Oryza sativa Japonica Group: one gene and its partner. The protein of the gene in region 2 interacts with the protein of the main gene of each other region in a pairwise test. Links are inferred from orthologs where the notes say so. Each region holds a gene or a part of one and is shown on either strand. Other genes may lie near its edges.

Region 1 (4,484 bases), on a different chromosome or scaffold from region 2:
TGGCATAGTTACAAACCAAACAAGACCTGAAACTTTTGTTCATTGTAGCCTACCCATCTTAAAATTACTATTAGGAAAAATTGAAATATATAGTAAAAATTTGAAATTACCAAGTAAACGCTACCGGAGGGAGTATGTTTCTTTTTTTTAAAAAAAAAAAGAAAAAAAGGAAATCTCCGCCAGAACGCCACCCGGCATCGTCTGGACTCTGGATCCTCCTGGATCCATGCTAGAGGCCTAGAGCCATAGATTACTGATTTATTGTACATACTTTCAACATGGCAGATGTTCTTCTCGAATGGCTCTCGGCGTTTTGTTAACACAAAGGGGCGTAATGTGTCATGTCGAGTTGTCAACGAAGATGGTAGAGGGATTCCATCAGGCTGAGCGCAGATCGGAATCTATCTATGAGTATAAATGATAATGATGTGGATACAGTTAATTACTAATGACGTGGACACGCTTTAAGATGCTCTAGTCTCTTTCACAGGTCAAATCTCGTGTTCAATAGTACTATAGGAGTAGCAGCCAAGGAGCAGTTTAGTTAGTATTATGTACTCCTCCGTCTTAAAAAAAATTCAACCTAGGACTTTGATGCGACATAATATAGTACAACGAATTTGAAGAAACCTAACTCCTCTTTTTTTTCATCCTCCTTTTTTTTCTCTTCCAAATTTCTCTCTCCATAAATATTTTCATTTTGAAATTATCATTGTTTAAGATGTGTAGCGGCAAGTTTGTTCTCATGCAAATGCTTTTCATCTACAGTAAAAAAAACTTTCACTAATTGAATAATCAAAATTTCAATTTTTGGTCAATGAGGTATAGCAAAATACATATGCGACGAATTATGGAATAGCCACTCGATCGATTTTGTGAGGCTATTAAAAAGTGTACGTAAAGGATTCTCCGTGTGATGACGCATGAAGCAAGTGTAATTGGGCTCAATGCTATATATGATTTCTGACTTTGTTTTGCCATTATTTTATTTATCTTGTTTCAGTTTGTCATTTAAATTGGCAGAGTTTCTACCCATCGTAAAAATTATCTTCAAACCCAACGCCATTTTTGCTAGTTATAAACTTATAAATAAAGAAAGCGCTGGCCTGCACCTGTCTGGCCCAATCGGCTGGGCTTGCACCCACTCTTGGGCCTTGGGCCAGTGGGCCGTAAGGGAAAGAGAGAGGAAGACACGAGCTTTTCTCCTCCTCTTCCTCTCCCTTCGCCCGCGGCGACAACCCTGAACCCTCCTCTCTCTCCTCCACCACCTCCCCTGCGACCAGCGGCGCGCGGCAGCGGCAGGCGGCCACCGGGATGGCGTCGTCGTCGGGGACGAGGGAGGTGCTCATGCTGGAGGCCCCGCCGGCGCCCTCCGGGGCGCCGTGGCGCGCGCCGCCGGACGCGGAGGCCGTGGACGCGCTGCCCTACATCGACGGCGACTACGGCGACCCGGCGGTGAAGCGGGAGGTGGACCGGATGGTGGAGGAGGAGATGCGGCGCGGGAGCCGCAAGCCCGCCGACTTCCTCCGCGACCTCCCCCCCGTCCCCGCCATCGGGTTCGAGGTAGATTCGCGATCTCTCATCTCCTCTCCTCTCCTTGTGGGTTCTTGGAGCAGCTCTAGTTCAGCGTCGGGGTCGTTGCGTTCAACTATCTTTTCAGGCGAAAAAAAATAGAACTGTATCTTTTCTTTCGAATGTGATTCGCGTTAGGGTTATAGCTACTTGTAAGAATGAAACGGGTTAGAGGCTGGGGGGTGTATAGGGTTAGTAGTTGTGTACTCGAAAGTGAGAGCACATTGCTAAATACTGTACATTATCCTCCTTTAGAACTGTGCTTATAACTATGTTTTGGTGGCGGAATTTTGGATTATAGTTGAGCTAATTAACTGAGTATATGTGGCTTGCTTGGATTTGTATAGAACTTTTTTTTTTGTAAAGCTTAATGTTTTGCTCTGCTATAATGTCTGTATGTTAACGTTGATCCTGAAAAGAACAAGAGAGTATTTTTTTCTGTTGCCACATGCTTCAATTGATTAGCTCGTATGGAGGACAGATGCCTGATGGTCCGTGCCTTCAAATTTTCTGAAATAATAATAATTGATAGTTTTGACTAGATCCACCCTGCTGCAAACAGAAAAGCAACATATTTTGGCTGCAAATATTTAACTTTTTTACTTAGCAACATTTCTTGACCACCAAATGAACCTATTGATTTGATCGGTTACTTGAAATTAAGTATACAATTTGAGGCACCAAGAACTGAAATATAAGCTCTTTTCCATGTTCTGTGTGCATTGAGCTAAACCGACAGGCAATTTGAACCTGTGGCAGTCAATAATATGACCTAAGGTATCAAAAGTGCACACGGCAGTCAATGAAGAATAGTTATTATAAGAAAAAAGAACTAAATTGAATGGGCATTCACGCTTTGATGATTTCATCTAAATAATTCTTATGAGATGTACCAGTCTAGGTGTTTGCATCATATTAACTCTGCTCCATAATAGTTGTCTTAGAGCTCAGAGAGCAAGGAAAGGGTTAATACCTTTTTTTTCACAAAGTTTGCCCTTTTGGATGATATAATCTGTGCTTATCTGTGCAATTGAGTCATATTTGAAGATACATACAGCCATTTAATTCGTTGTAGGCTTGTATTGCTTATTGAAATTATACAAAATATTTGAATCACAATTTGGGTTTCATTTTTTTAGAACTTATGCCTCATCATGTGAATATGTTTACAACCTTATGAGTTTTTATTATTTGATACTCATTTTGCACATCTGTTCTAGAATCATCCTATGCTTGCTAAAGAGTACGAGCGTGTTAGAGCTGGGAAACCTCCTGCTACCATAGAGATGTCCCGCTATGGTTTGGAGCCACCCCCAGCGAACAAGAGGAATGATGTTGCTGCATGGAGGCAGGCTCTAAGAAATGCTCAGAGCCAGCTGCACCATCAAATCATAAGGTAAGAGTAGAGAGCCACAGGGTACTGAACTAATGAAATTTACCATCAAAGGTGCAGTATCGTTGAACGTTGTGCATTTGATTGTGATAGGATCACAGGGACCAGTGTCTTCCTGTGGCATGTCCTTTTGATAATTTTTCATTACCATAATAGCTTTTAAGCTTTCCCTGGTGTGGAAAACATAGACTTCGAGAATAGTATCAGAGTAGATAGGATGGGCTGCTTGACAAAGGTTTCTGCAGTCTGTTTAAAATAACAAGCAGTATTATTTTGATAAAAGAGCATGTTTTTTGGATACACTGACAATTTGTAAATTGGAGGATTGTATAATGCTCATAGCAGAAGACTTTTCCTTGTACTTTACTAAATGTATCTTGGGTAAATTAAGATATTTGATCATGTATTGCCTAATATCAGCTTCAACAGTTTACTTGACAATGGGAGCTCCTAGGTTAGTTATGATTGAACATGTAAAGCTTCGATCATGTTACTTCAGAATTCGACTGCTGTACGCACTGTGTAGGATATACTGCTTTTTTCTGACCATGGTTTCTTATCATCTATGGAGTCAGCATACTTCTATGCTATTATTAGTTTTGAAATAAAGTTAATATTGCAGGATAGAGAATCTGGAGCTTATGCTGAAGTATGGTGTTGAGGTTTGGAAGCTTCAGAATAGACAAATGGAATCAGTTTTGTCTAGGTAGGCTATTGTGACATAAGTTTATTATCTTTGAATTTGGAGCTACGTATCCTGTGTTATTCATGAGATTCATTTAGAGCCATTTCAGTACTCCTGTTTGTAGACTCTGGTCTCATATGTTGATAGTGTAGCTTAGCTGTTTAAACTTCCAGTAAAGCACTTATTTTGATATTTGAAGCACTTATTTCGACATTCTTGTAAGTCTCAATGCTACTTATCACTGTAACAATATGGATGGTAGATTATTTTTATGCCTGATTGCATGGTATCTAAGATGTCGAATATAGCATTTATCATTCTAGCAGCATATGATGGGTTGATCTCTTTATAGGATGCAAAAGATGGCTGTCGAATACAATGAGAAGATAGAAACTGTCAACCGCGAGAGGAAATTTCACCAGGTAATTATATTACTCCTGCTCTTGTTCTTAACCACGGCATATTTCACAGCCAAGCTGATCATTTGTGTTTTGATCAGCAAAACACTGGTGGTCAACTCCATGCCTTGACGACGGAATGGCAGGAGCTGTGTCAGAAAAATATAGCTATTCAAGCTGCATGTGTTGATCTGCAGAATCAGATTGATCAGCTTAAACTTGGAGCTAAAGAATTGTACTCCCCCTCTCTCCCTACTTTCCTCCCTCTCTCTCCACATCCACATGACTAACAGATTCCTTAACAGGGGAATGCCCATCGATGACAGCACCGGAACTAATCAGCAAGCATCATCAGCCATTTGAGGTACTATTTGTTATTTTGTTCTCAAAGAAAGCAGTATTCTTAGGAGTATTGAAGTTAAGTCAAGAGACAAAA
Region 2 (2,945 bases):
GAGCATGTACAGTTCCCAACCACTATTGAGGAGCTTGAAGGTAAGAGAAGAGTAGACATAGAGGCACAATTAAGAAAACAAGACATTGCCAGGAACAAGATTCTCCAGAGGCAGGATGCTCCTGCTGCAATTATGCAGGCAAATAGACTCAACGATCCAGAAGCTGTCACAAAGAGGTCCAAATTAATGCTTCCACCACCCCAAATCTCTGATCATGAGCTAGAAGAGATAGCAAAGATGGGTAATGCTGGTGATCCTTCTTTAGTTGAGGAACTTGGCGAAGGTAGTACTGCCACAAGAGCATTGCTTTCTAGTTATTCCCAAACTCCAAGACTTGGAATGACACCATTGCGGACGCCACAACGAACTCCAGCTGGGAAGGGTGATGCTATTATGATGGAGGCAGAAAATCTAGCGCGTCTAAGGGAGTCTCAGACCCCTCTTTTAGGAGGGGATAACCCGGAGCTTCACCCATCAGATTTCTCTGGTGTTACACCACGTAAGAAGGAAATGCAGACTCCAAATCCAATGGCAACACCTTTGGCAAGCCCTGGCCCTGGTGCTACTCCAAGAATTGGAATGACACCCTCCAGAGATGGAAGTTCTTTTGGTTTAACTCCAAAAAGTACTCCTTTCCGAGATGAGCTTCGCATAAATGAAGAGGTGGATATGCAAGATACTGCTAAACTTGAGCTTCGTAGGCAAGCTGAATTGAGAAAAAGCCTACGATCTGGGTTTGCTTCTATTCCACAGCCTAAGAATGAGTACCAGATAGTTATGCCACCTATCACGGAGGAGGAGAAGGAAGAAGCTGAAGAGAAAATTGAGGATATGTCAGACAGGCTTGCACGAGAGAGGGCTGAGGAACAAGCAAGGCAGGAAGCCTTGCTCAGAAAGAGATCCAAAGTTTTGCAGAGGAGCTTGCCAAGGCCACCGGCAGCTTCTATAGAAATTCTCCGACAAACTCTAATTAAGGGTGGTGAAAGCAGAAGCAGGAGCACCTTCGTGCCTCCTACATCACTTGAACAAGCTGACGAACTAATAAATGAGGAGCTTCTTCGGCTCCTTGAGCATGATAATGCTAAATATCCTCTAGATGAGAAAACTCAAAAGGATAAAAAGAAAGGAAGCAAGCGCCAGGCGAATGGGACTCCTTCTGTACCTGAGATTGAAGATTTTGATGAAGACGAATTAAAAGAGGTAGGTTTTCTTCCCCTCTTATTATATTAGTATTTTAGCAATGAGACATGCCTATTTTAATCTGTTAACATCTATTTCAAGTGACTGATAGACTCTACTCATGAATGCAAATTTTGTTGGATTAGTTATAACTTGAAATCCTGTAGTAATAACTTGAAATCCTGTGTGTGCAAGATTGATCAATGTTTATCTCTCACTGAACACATATAACATGTGCCTTAAAGCATCAATCCTAAATAATTTATGACTTCATGTAGCAACTTTTGTATTCTTACTCTTTGATTCTCAAGCAGCCAAAGTTTGAATTATCCTAATGGCATCAAATGTTCTCTGGAGGATAACTTGAATTAATGCTAACTTTATATGTTATACTGGAAAGATACCATGTAGCTGTGGGATCCATAGGATCATGTGCTTAGTTTTAAGAACGTAATGTTTGATCTGATTAGCACTATAAAGATATAACCATGTGCTTGGCATTGCAGGATCATGAATCTGTTTACATGTAGTACCCTTTTGGATACTTTGTATTTTGGTCTTTGGATAGTCAGAACAAAAAACTTCATTCCATAAAAAATTGCAATGCCTTATTTACGGTGCATCCTTTGGTTATTGAATGGCTCAGCCATTGTCTCCTTGGTATCATTGTTTGATGCAGTAGATGGCTAGAACATATGAGCTCATTTCACGTACTCAGCTTTGATGGGAACATGTTTCACAATGAATTGCCCATGTCGTTAATGATTCCCATAGTGACCCCAACAAAAGATCATGTCTTGTGTGGTGAGATGTGAAATTGCATCACATCATTGTGAAAATTTAATTGACAGTATGAAATCCGTGTTATGCCATTGTGAGAATTTCATCTGCATCAACTAGCAATCACATTGATAGCAAAGGTGATCTAGCTTACATGGGGCCTTCATTGTCAGTAGAGTAATGGGGTGGCATCATTTTATATTGGAAGACAATGCACATATAAATTTCCTTAGCATATAATCTCTGGACAGGGCACAGAGAGCTGAAGGTAACGCTTTCAAGTTTCAAGCCAATCTCCCAGACAATTTAAACGGAGATATTTTGTAGAGATGGACCTAGAAGCTATATTCTCTCATCTAGTCATTTCCATACATTGTCTGTGAAGTTATTTCTGTACATAACCTGTAGATTTTCATCAAGAACCTTCCATTTCGCATCTATTTTTTGTTTCTAGTCAGTTTGGCATATGGTCTATTTTCTGGGTTTCTTGGATTCTTTTGAACAGTACTTATATTAATGCTATACACAATCCGCATGCTGTAGCCAGTATTCAATTTTCTCAGGAGTTACTCAGGTTTTAGTGTACTACATCATACGCGATATATGGTCGGTTTTTAGTTGTCTCCATGGTTAGTTTATTGTATTGATAGTAAATGTGATATTGCTTGATGCTTACCGTGAAAAAAGCTACGATACTACCATAGTAATTGGGATCATCTGCAAGATATGACTTCATATTATTTCCAGTCTTGTGCCCCTAATTTATTTATGTAATGGTGCAAGTTAATCCATATTGCGTCATTTATTTGTTCACAGGCCAATTCTATGCTTGAGGAGGAGGTTCAATACCTTCGTGTCGCCATGGGACATGAAAGTGAATCTTTGGAAGATTTTGTGAAAGCACATGATGCATGCCAAGAGGACCTTATGTTTTTTCCAAATAACAACAGCTATGGTCTTGCCAGCGTTGCTGGAAATTCTGATAA

Evidence for each region.
Region 1: the proteins of cell division cycle 5-like protein (region 2) and pre-mRNA-splicing factor SPF27 homolog interact in binary tests that used the Arabidopsis thaliana proteins (3 or more experiments, as listed by UniProt). The link is inferred for Oryza sativa Japonica Group from reciprocal best matches to the Arabidopsis thaliana genes CDC5 and MOS4.

The regions. Positions count from the first base shown.
Region 1 is NC_089035.1:9,024,653-9,029,136, forward strand, and holds the start of pre-mRNA-splicing factor SPF27 homolog, read left to right. Parts: upstream 1-1,224; 5' UTR 1,225-1,314; coding exon 1,315-1,563; intron 1,564-2,792; coding exon 2,793-2,968; intron 2,969-3,587; coding exon 3,588-3,671; intron 3,672-4,002; coding exon 4,003-4,072; intron 4,073-4,149; coding exon 4,150-4,283; intron 4,284-4,353; coding exon 4,354-4,411; 3' UTR 4,412-4,412; intron 4,413-4,484. UniProt on the Arabidopsis thaliana protein: Component of the MAC complex that probably regulates defense responses through transcriptional control and thereby is essential for plant innate immunity. Involved in mRNA splicing.
Region 2 is NC_089038.1:16,929,683-16,932,627, forward strand, and holds part of cell division cycle 5-like protein, read left to right. Parts: coding exon 1-1,200; intron 1,201-2,775; coding exon 2,776-2,945. UniProt on the Arabidopsis thaliana protein: Component of the MAC complex that probably regulates defense responses through transcriptional control and thereby is essential for plant innate immunity. Possesses a sequence specific DNA sequence 'CTCAGCG' binding activity.